Tamandua tetradactyla: one gene and its partner. The protein of the gene in region 1 purifies or fractionates together with the protein of each later gene. This does not show direct contact. Links are inferred from orthologs where the notes say so. Each region holds a gene or a part of one and is shown in the gene's direction. Other genes may lie near its edges.

What was found. The genes of interacting proteins can lie anywhere in the genome.
Region 2: the proteins of ACTB (region 1) and MORF4L1 purify together in Homo sapiens (affinity purification with mass spectrometry; 3 studies listed by BioGRID, with this or other methods). This does not show direct contact. The link is inferred for Tamandua tetradactyla from reciprocal best matches to the Homo sapiens genes ACTB and MORF4L1.

Annotation. Positions count from the first base shown.
Region 1 is NC_135349.1:4,685,515-4,693,268, reverse strand, and holds the start of ACTB (actin, cytoplasmic 1), read left to right. Parts: upstream 1-4,752; 5' UTR 4,753-4,851; intron 4,852-5,901; 5' UTR 5,902-5,907; coding exon 5,908-6,030; intron 6,031-6,129; coding exon 6,130-6,369; intron 6,370-6,813; coding exon 6,814-7,252; intron 7,253-7,380; coding exon 7,381-7,562; intron 7,563-7,688; coding exon 7,689-7,754. UniProt on the Homo sapiens protein: Actin is a highly conserved protein that polymerizes to produce filaments that form cross-linked networks in the cytoplasm of cells.
Region 2 is NC_135340.1:94,397,762-94,405,366, reverse strand, and holds the start of MORF4L1 (mortality factor 4-like protein 1), read left to right. Parts: upstream 1-4,601; 5' UTR 4,602-5,199; coding exon 5,200-5,239; intron 5,240-7,605. UniProt on the Homo sapiens protein: Component of the NuA4 histone acetyltransferase (HAT) complex which is involved in transcriptional activation of select genes principally by acetylation of nucleosomal histones H4 and H2A.

The DNA of each region.
Region 1 (7,754 bases):
GATGGCAGAAACCTCTGGCCGAGGAGAGCCTGATTATGTGGTACAGCCGATCGGATTCCCACTAGGACAGATACCACGCCCCACACCGAAGCAGCCGGTGCCAGCTGAGGAGGCCTGCACGAGGGGCCCAGCGTGATTCCCACTGCCAGGCCCAGGGTGGCTGGGTGCAGGTTTTGCCACCACTCAGCCAAGTCCCTGGCCACTCTGAGCCTCAGTTTGCCCATCTGAAGTATGGGGCCAAGAGCAGTGACTGCAGAGGCTGAAGGACTCTGTGGGGCCCTTCGAGGCTCTCCATGGACCTTGGCCTTGCACCCGGTTCTGGATTCCAGGTTCCAGCAAATTCCAGTAAGGTCTAGCAATAGCCAGACTGGGCTGTTAACTGCAGGGCCAGGTCTCTCACTTTCACGGGGACTCGGTTGCCCTTCTGAGAAATGGGGAGATTCCCACTTAGCTCTGGACCTAGGCCCGGCCCACGGTTGGCCCCAGACACTATGCTTTCCCTTCTCCTCTCACGGACATGGGGGGAGACCAGGAAGGGGAGGCTGGGCTGGGAGATGGGGGAGCCAGTGGCCTCCGTGAGTCAGCGGCCACCCCGCCCGTCCTTTCCCAACACCTCCTTCCCCCCTTCCCCTTTCACTTCCTCAGGCTCTTCAGGAGGGGTGCCCCCACCCCCACCCCGGACCTCTAGTGGCCCAACACCTGTGGGAATTTCCGAGCCCCCCCCCGGGCTGGGCAGGAAAGTGGGGGGAAAAGGCCACCCAGCCAGGAGGAGGTTGAACCCCTGACATCCACCAGCCCTCGTGGGCCCAAATGGCACTTCAGGGGTCCCCCTCCATACAGTGACCGCCCCAGGCCACCTGGGAGCCACGTGTCACACCTGCTCGGTTCACAGCCCAGGTGGCAGGGCCAGGAGTCCCCAGAACCTGCCGTGGCTGTTGGCCCCCCATCCTCTGCCCCAGAGGCTGCCGTGACCTCTGGGTGGCTGTGAGCAGGTCGCTGTGCACACGAGAGAGGGGACAGGAGCATCCACCCCAGCTCACCTGGACAGCCCCACCCCGCCCCCAAGGGGCCCCTTCCTTGCAGCCCCCTGGGTCTCTCTGGGGGGGTCTAGGCTTCTCATCCAGAGAATGGGCACAGTCAGCCCAAGGACCTTCATGGGATAAAAGGGCATAGCTGGTGAGCCTGTGGAGGGGAAGCCCAGGGAAGCTTTTTGTTTCTTTTTTTTTTAATCATTCAAGCAAGTCTGGGAACCCCCCTGGAAGGCTGGGCAGGTTTTTCTGAGTGCCCTGGGGGAGTGGAAGTGAGAGGGTAGTTTTTAAGGATTTTTAAAAACTCCCCCATGAAGTGTCTAGAAGTTCCCAGTTTCTCCAGGACAGCTCCCACCCCCCAGATAACCCCTTAGGGGGTGGGGGAATCTGGGTGGTGGGGCAGAGGCTGCCAGGTCTGGGGAGCCAGCCAGGGTGCTGCCCAGGGCACAGCCCATCTCTCTGCCCCTGGGCCTTTGACCAGGCTGTTCTCCAACCTCCCCTAGCTGGCTGGTCACCTCCTCAGGGAGGCCTTCCTGAACTACCCTTTAAGAAGCTCTGGCTGGGTCTCTACTTCTCAGTCATGGTAGAGGAAGGAGGAGGTCACGGCAGGCTTCCTGGAGGTGGCAGTCCAAGAGCTGACCCCTCCCTGAAGACTGAGAAGTCTGGCAGGAGGTGAGGGACCCCAAGCATAGGCCCTCCCAGGACCTCAAGACTCCTGAGGTCCACTTGCTCAAAGGAGCCGAGGTTTCTTCTTAAGATCATACTGCAAACAGGGAAAGTGGGGATGCAAGAGGCAGAGGAGAGAGGAAGCTTAGGCCCTCAGGATGGATTGCTGTGTGACTGCAGGCTGGTGGTTGTTCTCTCTGAGCCTCAGGAGACAAGTGCTGAGGAGTGAGGCAGGGCCCAGGAATTTAGAGTTTGGAAGCACCTTTGGACCCATTCCCTTGGGACATTCCAGGCTTTACTCAGGGAGGGGCAGTATAAGGCAGGAGGTGAGGCCACTGCTTTTGGGGACCCCGAGCCCAGCTCAGCACCCTTCACACAGGAGCCTAAGCCCTGGGTGCTTTACCAGTCCTGCTTCAGTTTCCCCATCTGTAAAAAGGGGGTGTGCTTGCTGGAATATCTTAGCCCCTTTGCCTCACCCCTTCATTCAATTACCCCTCACTGAGAGCCCTCTGGTTGCGGGGTCCCTGCCTTCCTGTGGCCCATGGTCTAAAAGGGGGGCCTCTTCTCCTGCTCAGCCCTATCCCAGACCCTCCCTCTGAAAAAAAAGGAGCTTGGGCTGCCTACCCGGCAGGCCCAGGGCTTGGTGGCTGGTGGCTGTTTGGCAGGAGAGGGCATGGGGTGTGGGGGAATCTGGCTCCAAAAGGCTACGGACACCCTAGCCTGGGGCCTGGCAGGGTGAAGGAACCAAGAGACCTGGGACCCAGTGCTGGGCCCCAGGTTCATGGTGGACCCAACCGGCCCCAAGTCTCGGCAGAACCCCCACCCCCACCCCCGCACCCCACCCCGCAAAGGCAAAGTTCCCGAGTGAAGAATAACCTGTTCACTTCCTCTCCCTCCCCTCCTCCCCCTCCCCCAGCAGGCTGCACTTCCCCTTTCCCCTTCCCCTGCTTTCTTGCTCTGCTCAGGCCCATTTACTGGCCAGGCCCCATCCCACCCTGCCCCAGGCTTGCTGCCCAGCCCCTCTGGCCCCTCATCTCCCCAGAGTCTGGACTGAGGACACCCAGCCAATCATTTCTTCATTCAACAGAGCAGGGCCCTGAGGGGGTTATGGGGGGCGTGAGCAAGGCAGGAAAGTGGGAGTGACATACCCTCAAAAGCCAAATTACCAATACTAGTCCAGGGTAGCTGTCTTATGTGGGGAGGAAAGTGGAGGATAATGATGCTAAAGTCCTCTCTAAGAAGGGGCCTTCTGGTATGGGCCTTGAAGGATGCATAGGAGATCACCAGGAAGTGGCTGCTGCAGACAGTGGGTACCATAGGCCAGCGGGCAGCCCAGGTCCTGCTCAGGGACCAGTGTTTCCCACTCGGTGCCCAGAGCCACCCCAAGAACCTCCCACCCTATGCCTGTAGCCCCGAACTCAGTACCCCACCAGGCTCATCGACAGGCAGCGCAAAGGGGTGCCCCCTGGCCTGGTGAATTACAGGGCTGGCAGGTCGTGAGGTGGCTGGCGAGATGCCCGTGATCGAGAAAGAAGGCCAGGGCCAGAGCTGCCAGCCTCCGGGAGGCAGCGAGTGGACAGGCTGGGAAAGTTTACCCAGGCCCACGCGAGGATGGGGGAGTGGCCGCAGCTTCTTGGCAGGTCTCTGGGAAGGCTGGCATGTGACTTGGACCGTGTGGCCTCTGCTGTAGCTGCGTGGGGGTCTCTCTTCCCACCTGGGGATGGCCTCTGTGGTGCTACCCTGCCCCCAGGCCCATCCAACGAGCTGGAGCAAGCCACCTCTTCTCCAGCCGCAGGCTCTCCATCCCCACAGGGCCGACGGTCCTCCCGCTTTCTCACCGCCATCGGGTGCCCAGAGATGGCCAGTGACAGAGGGACGAAGAATGCCTGTGGCCTCTTGTCACCCCGAGTTAAGCCCACCCCTGGTCCTCCAGGCTGAGTCCCCGGGCGCCAGGCTTGTCTGACACACACTGATCTTCATGTGTCCCCACCTGGGAACCCTAGGACAGAGGACTGGGCTGTCCATTTTGGACGCCCCCCGCCCCCCACCGAACATTCCCAGAGACATGGGTCTTGCCCAATGTGGGGTGCACAGACCCAGGGCAAGAAAGGTTGAGAAGAGGGTCTTCTCTGAGACCAGCTGGCTTTGGGTTCCCACCACTGCCCTCCCCCCAACTCCCCTCTGGCACATTGCGTTCCTCCCCAGAGTCCTTCCCGGCCTCCAGATGGTCCAGGGAAGCAGCTCAGCTGTGGCTGTCCATGACGGAAGATGGATGGAGGGGCCCAGCCTCGAAGGGGGGCAGAGTCAGCCCTGCCAACCCCACCCAACAGCTAACGGCTTAGGCTGGGTGTGACCAGGCGGGCGTCAGAGGCAGCCTGGCTCCTTGGAAACAGTTTCCCTGCAGCAGGGGAGGCTTGCAGCCTTTCCGCCAGGGAAGCTCAGCCCCAGGTGTCTGAGAAGGGCCCCAGCCCACAGCCAGCCCAGCAAACACCTCCAGAGTACCCCCAGGCCAGGCCTCCTGGGCAGTTGAGCTAATGTTGGCAAGGGGGAGTGACTGTGACCGTCCCCTGCCTGTGTCCCCCTCAATGCCGCTGCAACTTCAGCACGTGCCTGCGGCAACCAGCGCCCTTGCTTCCATGCTGACCCCTTGCCCACCGAGGCCTGCTGTGCTCATGTGACATCCACACCCACAGGGTCACGGGTGGGGGTCGCGGCGACACCAGCAGCCTGAAACCAGGCCTGGCCCGCAGGGCCGGCGTGGACACTGCCCATCCGGGGGACGACCCCAGGCCTGCACCCCTGGCCCATGGGCCCGGCACCCAAGGGCGGCTAACGCCAAAACTCTCTCCCTCCTCCGCCCTCCCTTCCTCAATCTCGCTCACGCTCTTTCGCTCGCTCCTTTTTTTTTTTTTAAAGGAGGGGAGAGGGGGTAAAAAAATGCTGCACTGTGCGGCGAGGCCGGTGAGTGAGCGGCGCGGGGCCAATCAGCGCGCGCCGTTCCGAAAGTTGCCTTTTATGGCTCGAGCGGCCACGGCAGTGCCCTATAAAACCCGGCGGCGCGACGCGCAGCCACCGCCGACACCGCGTCCACCCCGCGAGTACAGGCCTCTCGCCGCTCAGCCGCCACCACCGCCGGTTTACATTCGCCACCTCCAAGGTAAGTCGCTCTGGCCAGGCACCGAGGCAGGGTCCCCGCGCGCTGATGGCCGGGCACCGAGGCAGGGTCCCCGCGCGCTGATGGCCGGGCACAGAGGCAGGTTCCCCGCGTGCTGATGGCCGGCGCCCAGGCAGGGTCCCCGCGTGCTGATGGCCGGCGCCCAGGCAGGGTCCCCCCGCGTGCTGATGGCCGGCGCCCAGGCAGGGTCCCCGCGTGCTGATGGCCGGCGCCCAGGCAGGGTCCCCCGCGCACGGATGGCCCGCGCGGAGGGAGGGTCCACGGGCGCTGATGGCCGACGCCCAGGCAGGGTCCCCGCGCCTCCATGCCCTGGAGGCAGCGCCCCGTGGCAGCGTCCACTTGGTCTCCAGCCGCGGCCCCACGTCGCCCGTGGAGAGCCGCCCCCAAACCCCGCGACAGGCGGGATTCCACCTCCCTCCCCAGCTCTGGATCCGAGACCATGAGCCCGTAGCGAGCGGCTTGGAGGAGTCCTGGGGTGGGGGGAGGCCGCGGTGACCGGCCGGGTCTTTGTCCAAGCGGGCAGGTGGCTGTCCCCTGTCCCCAGGGTGGGCGCAGCGAGGCCGGGGTGGGGGTTGGGACGCTACCGCGCGTGCGTAAGTGCGTGCTCCCCGCTCCCCACTGCCCCCACCATAGCACCCCCGTCTATCGCCGGCCGGACAAGGGCGCGGGCAGGGCCGGGGTGCACGGCCCAGGCCGGGGCGCAGGGCGAGGGCGGGGCCGGCCCTCCCGGAAGGGGTGGGGTCGGCGGGCCTCCAGGGCGCCTGCGCGCGCCGCCCCGCGCCCCCGCCGAGGGTGTGGCCGCTGAGCCCCAACTGAGCGGGGCGGGGGCGGGGCCGCCGGGCGGGGGCGGGGCCTGGCTTCCTGCCGCGCGGCGCCGCCGCCGCGACCCGCACTTGCCTTTTATGGAAATAGCGCGGCCGGCCGGGCTTCCTTTGTCCCGAGGCCGGGCGCGCGCCGGCGCCCTCTGGCGGCCGGAAGTGGGCGGGCGGGCGGCCCCTCCCCCGCTCACGGCCTCGCCCCCCCGACCCGCAGCTCACCATGGATGATGACATCGCTGCGCTCGTGGTCGACAACGGTTCCGGCATGTGCAAGGCCGGCTTCGCGGGCGACGATGCGCCCCGGGCCGTCTTCCCTTCCATCGTGGGGCGCCCCCGGCACCAGGTAGGGCGGCCAGGCCCGCTTTGAGCTGGGTGAGGTCCCGGGGGCAGGGGGGGGTCTGGGCTGCCCGCACAGGGGCTGACCCCGTCCCTTGTTCCGTAGGGCGTGATGGTGGGCATGGGCCAGAAGGACTCCTACGTGGGCGACGAGGCCCAGAGCAAGAGAGGCATCCTGACGCTGAAGTACCCGATCGAGCACGGCATCGTCACCAACTGGGACGACATGGAGAAGATCTGGCATCACACCTTCTACAACGAGCTGCGCGTCGCCCCGGAGGAGCACCCGGTGCTGCTGACCGAGGCCCCCCTTAATCCCAAGGCCAACCGTGAGAAGATGACCCAGGTCAGTGCTCCCCGCCTCTCCCGGGCGGCCCGCGGTCCTCTCCCTGCGGTGCCTTCCCTCCTCTCAACTTGTTCTTCTCTCTGCCGTTCTCCATAGGACTCTCTTCTCTGACCTGAGTCTCCTTTGGAACTCTGCAGGTTCTGTTTGCTTTTTCCCCAGATGAATCCTCTTTCTGGTGTCTGTCCCTTTTACTAGGTGTTCCTAAAGTGCTGTGGATTTAGGTACTAACACTGGCTCGGTGGCAGCCAAGGACGCTGGTGTAAATTGCCTTGGAGTGTGTCTGATTGCACCACCTTAGGCCTGGACTGAGCCCCTGCCCCCGTGTCCCCCTCCCCAGCACACTTTTACTGTGTTCCTTGCACTCTTCTGCATGTCCCCAGTGTGGCCAGCTGTCCCTGTCCCCTCCTGGACATGACGAGCCCCCCACTACCCCTCTCCCTCCAGATCATGTTCGAGACCTTCAACACCCCTGCCATGTACGTGGCCATCCAGGCTGTGCTGTCCCTGTACGCCTCTGGCCGCACCACGGGCATCGTCATGGACTCCGGCGACGGGGTCACCCACACCGTGCCCATCTACGAGGGCTACGCGCTGCCCCACGCCATCCTGCGTCTGGACCTGGCCGGCCGGGACCTGACCGACTACCTCATGAAGATCCTCACCGAGCGCGGCTACAGCTTCACCACCACGGCCGAGCGCGAAATTGTGCGTGACATCAAGGAGAAGCTCTGCTACGTCGCCCTGGATTTCGAGCAGGAGATGGCCACCGCCGCCTCCTCGTCCTCCTTGGAGAAAAGCTACGAGCTGCCTGACGGCCAGGTCATCACCATCGGCAACGAGCGGTTCCGCTGTCCCGAGGCCCTCTTCCAGCCCTCCTTCCTGGGTGAGTGACCACGTGGCCTCCTAGCCCTGCTCCCGCCATCCTCCCCCTTAAGGCCAGGCCCCCCACGCCCCCCCAGCCCGGGTTGCCTTGCTGTGCAGGGAAGCTAAGACCAGTCTCTCTCCCTCCAGGCATGGAATCCTGTGGCATCCACGAAACTACCTTTAACTCCATCATGAAGTGTGACGTGGACATCCGCAAGGACCTTTACGCCAACACGGTGCTGTCTGGCGGGACCACCATGTACCCGGGCATCGCCGACAGGATGCAGAAGGAGATCACAGCGTTGGCACCCAGTACGATGAAGATCAAGGTGAGTCTCTGGTGGTCAAGGGGAGCCTTCATCTCCGGGTCTGGGGCCTGGGCACCAGCCCCTCCCCCAGCCCTTTGCGTCACCAGGATAGGATCTTCAGGCTGACGGTCTCCCTTCCCTCCCCAGATTATCGCCCCCCCTGAGCGCAAATACTCCGTGTGGATCGGCGGCTCCATCCTGGCCTCGCTGTCC
Region 2 (7,605 bases), on another chromosome or scaffold:
GAATGGGGCTGGGGGAGCAGGGGTTGTTGGGGGAAAAGGGGTTTTCCAGAGAAGCAAACCTGGTAGAGAAAATGCAAACTAGTCAATTCATGAGGAGTCAATGAAAATATCAAATCATGCAGCCATTTAAAATTTAAGATCAGCATTCCAGGTAATTTTGATTTTAAGTTTATTTTATTATGCCTTATATGATTGCCACCATCTTCAGTCTCTAAAGCCTTTCCTGAAAGTATTGGTTTGTTTGGATTGCGACCCAAGTTCAGGTCAGGAGGACGTCAGCCTCACAGCTCCTTCAGAAATGACACATGAAAATGAGCTTCATCTCAGGGGATGTTTTCTTCTTACTGTTGGTTGATGTTTCATTACTATTTGCGCTAAAAGAATATTGTCAAACATATACCAAATAAAACACATTTTATTCTTCCATGGAACTCATATTTGAAGATTTTAAGTTCACTGAATTCATAAATGCAGCATCTAAGAAAGTGTGCTAGTTCTCTGTGGTCTGCTTTCTTAACTAATAAGTAGCAAATAAAAGAAACACAGACCATGACATCTCACGTGTATGCAATGTGTGGCCCTCGTATGGATCCTGATTTGAACCAGCCGATCATTAAAAAAAGCATGGATGAAACACTTGGGGACAGCTGGGTGCTGACTGCCCACATGAAGATATTAAGGAATTCTTTATTTTTTAATAAGTTTTTTTTGGGGGGTGGGGTGGGGGCTGCATGGTCCAGGAATCGAACCTGGGTCTCCCGCATGGAAGATGGTATTCTGCCACTGAACCACCTGTGCACCCCAAGGAATTATTAATTTTTAAATTTAATAATGGTATTGTGTTAAAAAGGGATACTTGTATTTTAGAGAGACATACTAAGTTATTTATGAATTAAATAGATATGGCAGCTGGGATTTGTGTGCATGTATTGCTGGGGCTGCGGCAAGGAGAGGAGGGATGAGGGGTAAGAATGAAACAAGATGGGCTGTGTGTTGATAACACAGAAGCTGAGTGATAGAAGGAGCAGGATTCACCGTATTATACCCTCAACTTTTGTACATGTTTAAACATTTCCATAAAATTAAATGTCATTTGATTATGCAAAACCAAAGAGGCTTTAAGCTTCTCAACCCAGTGATCAAACTTAGCATCCCTAAAAGTGAGACATCCAGACATTATGTGCCTGCTGATGCCACGGAATGAAAAGTGGGTAGCATCACCTATAACATACTCTCGTCAAAAACTTTCAGCTTGAATCTAATCAACACTTTAGATCTCACTTTAAGTTTATAGGAACAGGAAAGAAGAAAAAAAGGTAAGGTAAACATTACTGACCGTGAGTAAATAATCAGGCAAATCCAGAATGTCAGATATTAAAATAGCCAATGTCATGAACAAATACTAATTCTAATACTAATGCTAATACTAATCCCAATGCTAATCCTAATGAAGATGTGTCATTTAGAGAGACTGACCCCTGGCAGTCTGCTAATGCCAATGTACTCTTTCTTAGAAATCTGTTTTTAAATGCAGAAAGAAAAAAAGCCCACATAGGTGTATAGAAGGTAAAATATTACATTGAAGTACAGTTATCAAAATATTTTTAGAATGCGATATGCTGGTGTTTATGCCTCAATATTAATGAATTAAATGACAACATCTAGTGGCATGCCTAATAATTCCAGTAATTTCAAAGTAGTGATGAATGTAAATATATTTTAAATATCTGCAAGAACTTTAACATGATATAAAAATATCTGCAATTTCTACTGGCGACAAAGTCCAGGGTGCTGCTAATGCTAATGTAGTTGTTACCTTCATTTTTAATGAAGGGAAATGCTATATTTCAACTAGAGTCAATAAAGAAGTAAATTTTTTCCTATTCAACCTTTGAATTTTCCTACTCACCTTTTGAATTGCATTCATAGACTCCGGTTAAGAATCTTTGGCCTAGTTGTAAAAAGATGTAGGGGATTTAACAACCAAATGTCATTTAATGGATCCTGTTTTGAAAAAACAAATATGAAAATATTTTAGGGATAATAGTGGAAATTTTAGTATGGAGTACTGTATGATTTTAGGGCATTACTGTTAATTGTTTTGTATGTAATAATGGCACTGCGGCATGTACAAGAATGCCTTTATATTTCGGAAATGCATACTGAAGAAGTCAGGCTTCAAGAAATCATGATGTGTACACACACGCACACACATAGATGGGAAGATGTTCACAATTGTTGAATTTAGATGGCATATATTATTATTCCATTTTCCTGTTTGAATTTTTCATAGTTAAAAGAAAAAAGTGATTTAAGATGCTTTTATTGAGGAATAATGCAGATATGGTGATATGAATTAATTGTAAATGTATGGCTTGATGAATTTTTACCTAAGGAAGCATTCATATAACTATACCAGATCAAGTTATAAAATATTTCCAGCACCTCAAAAGTTCCCTGTCCCCCTTTCCCAGTTAAACTCCCCTTCCATTTCAGTTAACCACTTCTCTGATTCTGATCACCATTGAGAAAGTGTCTGGTTTTTTTTGCACAATGTTGTAGTTTGCTGGCTGCCAGAATGCAATATACCAGAAACGGAATGGCTTTTAAAAGGAGAATTTAATAAGTTGCAAGTTTACAGTTCTAAGGCCGAGAAAATTAAGCTTCTGAATTAAGCAAGTCTATTGAAATGTCCAATCTAAGGCATCCAGGGAAAGATAACTTTGGTTCAAGGAGGCTGATGAAGTTCACAGTTTCTCTCTCAAGTGAGAAGGCACGTGGTGAACACAGTCAGAGTTTCTCTCTCGGCTGGAAGGGCACGTGGTGAACACAGAGTCATCTGCTAGCTTCTTCTCCTGGCTTCCTGTTTCATAAAGCTCCCCGGGAGGCATTTTCCTTCTTCGTCTCCAAAGGTCGCTGGCTGGTGGACTCTGCTTCTCGTGGCTATGTCGTCCTGCTCTATTGTCTTTGAATCACTTCATTCTCCAAAATGTTTCCTCTTTCATAGGACTCCAGAAATTTATCAAGACCCACTCAAATAGATGGAGACATGTCGTCACCTAACCCAGCTTAACAACCACTCTTGATTAAATCACAGCTCCAAGGAGACAATCTGATTACAGTTTCAAACACATAGTATTCAGTAGGGATTAGAAGAAACAGCTGCCTTTACAAAATGGGATTAGGATTAAAACTTCGCTTTTCTAGGGGATGCACATCCTTTCAAACCAGCACATGCAACATGACTTACCGACATAGTAAAACAAACTTCTAGAGATCGATAATACCATGTTTGGCAAGGATGTGGGAAAATAAGCCCTTTCTCAAATTACTGGTTGAAATGTAAATTGGTGAAGCCTATCATAGGGCAGTTTAAAATGCCCACACTCTGACTTAGATATTCTATATGCAGGGAACCTAAAAAAAAAAAAAAAAGAAAAAGAAAAGAAATGTGCATAAAGATGGAGGCTCAAACATATAGGTCTCTAATAGTGAAAAGATGGAATTAGCCTAATTGTCCAGCTACACAAGCGAGATTAATTCTGGTATATTTATAATATGTCATGAACTATTAAAAATGTGACTTAGATGGGTATGTGACTGGAATGATCACTAGGCCATATCATTAAGTTAAAAAAGAAGACACAGAACACATGAACAGCCCATTCATGGTAAGAAAAAAAAAACATAGGAAAGGGCTGAAAAAGATATACATACCAAGCAGTACAAAGGCAAATGGGGGAAATCAAAGGAGTTCCTTGAGTTTTGCCCTGCATGCTGAACTTCTGAGTTGCTGCATCAGATACAACCCACACACTCAAGTATTGCTTGTGTCACTAAAACGTAAAGGTAAAAACTATTTTAACTTTAATGTAAATAATAGACAAAATGCTAGGATAAAGAAACGGCACGGATACATAGGCGACTTTTGTTCCCAGGGGAACTAGAACAGAAATGACAAGGAGACTTTCCACTATCTCTGTTTTTATAATATTTAATTAAAACAAGATTTTTAAGGATTACGTATTCAAAAATTTGAAAAATGCATATGGAGTAGTTTTGTGGGGGGAGGGAGTCACAGAGGCCCTGGCCCCTTTCTTCGTGTGGTTAATAGCACAGTTGTGCCAAAGGAGTTGTAGAGACAAGATGATCCGTAATCAGCTGGAATAAAGAGCTCGGGTTACTTGTGGGTTTCTGTGATAGAACAAAGGTCGTGTAGGAGAGGGGGCTTGGAGGAGAAACAGGAGTCAGACAGACGGAGAGGGGCTTGGAGAAGCCACGGAGACCAGGGTGGACGGAGGAGCGTGGGAGGGCGGGTGGGGGCTGCAGACGCGTGCAAAGCCCAGGCGGAGGGATTAATCCTCGGGTTCACGTTGGTTGAGCTTTCAGCCCGTTAAGACACCACGCTAAGCCTTTAACACGAAGTCCTCACAGTACACCCCAGGAAGGGGCTACCAGCCCCATTTGGCAGCAGAGCAAACCGAGGACTTTGCGGTCAGGGTGGCGGGACGAGGACCTGGGAAGGCCGTTCGCGGCGACCGTGCGCGCATCCACGAGACCAGCTCAGCCCGCGACAAAAGCCTCCGGCCGGCGTCGCTGCCGTCTGTGCACACCACCGGTGCCTTCCCACGGGCGGTCCTCTGCCCTCCAGCGGCCGAGCTCCACCCCCAGACCGCGTCCCGCTTCGACCGCAGCTCCACCCTCCCGGCCGCAGGGCCGAGGCCGGAGAAGGAGGGTCGGCGCAGGAGACAACCGACCACCAAGCAGTTTGGGAGGGAGTTGGCCGCCGCACGAAGCTTCCGGTCGGGGACCCTATCTCCCACCGCCTTCCGGCCAGACTGCAGCCCCCAAAGCTTTCCTACGCACCCCCGACTGGGGACCTGCCACGGAAAGCGGGCTCACCGGCAGCCCTGACCCCTCCCCCGCCCCGCGGCGTCCCCATTTTGGAACTACCGTTCCCGGCGTGCCCCGGGGCGGCGCGGACGGAAGGGCGCCTGCGCGGCGGGCAACCGACGGCTGGAACTGAGGCTGCGCGGGTCGCGGGGCTGTGACGTCTGCGGGCGCTGGCAAATCGGGCGCGGGATGTAGAGTTGGCAGAGCCTGACGGCGCGGCTGACGCTGAGTTGGGTGGGGTAGAGAGTAGGGGGCGGTAGTCGGGGGTGGTGGGAGAAGGAGGAGGCGGCGGCGAATCACTTATAAATGGCGCCGAAGCAGGACCCGAAGCCTAAATTCCAGGAGGGTGAGTCCGGACGCGGGAGAGAGGCACTCAGCGGCGCAGGCGGGGGAGGCGGGCTCGGGGTGGGTGAGGTCTGGGGGCCGGGGGCGGCGTGGGCTGCGCCCCGAGAGGGCGGCGGGTGGCGCTTTGTGGGGACAGCGCATTGCGGAGGGGAGTCTCACTGCGTCATGGGGAGAAAACGCCGTGGGAAGCGGCAGCGCTAGGCAGGCGGTGAGAACTGCAGAGGGAGCGTCTTGCGCGTGGCGGACCTCGGCCGAGTGTTTGTTATTGTTCTGAAGAAGGGGGCGCGGAGAACGCAGCCTATTGTAGGGAGGCGACTGGGACGCCATGGCGGCGGGTAGGGGAAGTGATGTGGCGCGGGGGGAGGGGAGGCAGCGGCGGCTGTTTCGGGCGCCGGGGCGGGGTCGCCCGGCCTCGCCGACGGCCGGCTTCTAGCGGTCGAGGGCCGCCTGCAGCTCCCGGGTGGCCGCGTGCGGTGTAGACGCCCGGGTGCGCCGCGGGGGTGGGTGAGCGCCCCAGGGCGGGAGAACTGCGTTGTAAAATGGCCGCCGCAAGATGGCGGCCCCGCCGGGGCTGCCGGCGTCGCGGCCTCGGGCGGCAGACGTAGCTTCGGGGCGGATGCAGCGCCCCCCTCGTCGCGACCGCGCGTTTACCTCCGAAAGGCGGGTGGGACGAAAAAGACAGCCGGGAGCGGTGCCGCCGGCCTCGGGCTGCCTGAAGGCCTCTGGTCTTGCGCTCCGAGAGCGGAGCGCCGAGGTTTCCGTGAGGAGTGCGCGCTTCCTGCTGTGCGGCTCCTCGTGAAAAGGAAAGAAAAAAGCAGTGGCTCGTGTCTCCATTTCGAAGTCCTGTTGCCCGGATGTTAGGCTAACTGCAATTAGAATATGACGAAGAGTGATTTGAGAGCTCAATTGGCTTTTATTAGTTGCCTCTGGGTCAGATGTTTCGGCTGGCGTTAGCAGTGGGTGCTCGTGGAAGATGGGGCCTCCACGCGCGAGGAGGAAGTAAATCCTCTAGCCGAAAGGAACGCTTTCACGCCGGCCAGTTTTCATAAATGCGGATGTCCATACGCCCTGTATAAAACTTTTGTTTCAGGAATGTTCTCACATCGGTATGCGTTCGAATTACTTTTGGAGTCATGTAGCCAAAATCCAAGGGTATTATGTTTTTATGGAGTATTTAAGGGGTTTCCAAAGGTATTCTGGATAATGGTTCTTTTTAAATTGCTTTTAAAAGACTCTGTGACCGTGCTGTCATTTTTTGTTGTTAAAAAGTGTGGGTTTACAGAAAAATGATGCTTAAGATGCAAGATAACGTTTGTTATCATTGATGAAAGCACATTTTTATAATTGTACTATTGACTGTAGTCCGTGGTTTAACTTAGCCGTCACTGTGTTGTGCAGTTCGTTTTGGTTTTTTTTTAATTTTAGTAACATGTACACCCAGAAAATACTTAATACCTCCTGTGTCCCACTTGGAGAGATTGCGACTTTATCGTACGTCCTGTGGCTTCATTATCTTACTAGGTGCTTTAGACCAGGGATCCTTAATGTAGGGTCATTAGACAGAATTCAAAGGGTCCGGTGAACTTGGACGAAATTCTGTGTTTCAGTTATGATTGTAAGCCAAATAAAAACAGTCCACAGTAATATTAGCAGTACTGTGATTGTCGCCAGCAAAAATCAGTTATTTCCATATCGACATTGTGGTTACTGAATGCTCTTCATTACCTCAAAATGATAGTTATTGCATCAGCAGTTAAATCTTAACTAAGGAGCATGTGTAATACCATAGGAAATTGTACTTCAATGTTTTGACAACTACTATTTCAGTTACAGTTGGTTTTATTTGTATTTCAGAACATTCTAAGAGGAGGCCCATAGGCTTTAACAGGCTGTCAAGGGTCCATGATACAAAAAATTAATCCCTAATATAGGATATCAAAGCAGGAAAATCACTGGCATCTGAAACCATTTTACTCATGGCTTCCTGGAGGAAGTGTTTTATTTAGTTCTGAACTAGAGAGATGTAGAGTGAGGTGGGTAGAAGTAAATGAGAGTCCATGTGCTGCTATCCATAGTGGTTTGAGGAAGCAAGGTAGGGGTAAATTTTTGAAAGGTTTGCAAGAATCTCTTAACATCGTTTTCCGTGTGTGTTTTCTACTTTCGTATGAATACTGAATTCTCTAGCCATCTTTAGTAAATTACAGGTATTTATAAAATACATTCAGAATCTTTTGTAAGGAGGAAAGGAATATTCTGTTAATGCGAGAAGAATCATCTTGAAACACGATAGAAGAGTATATAATGATAGGGATATGAAATAACAAAATGAGGAGATAGCATTTTTTGCTGTTTATGATTCCTTTAAAT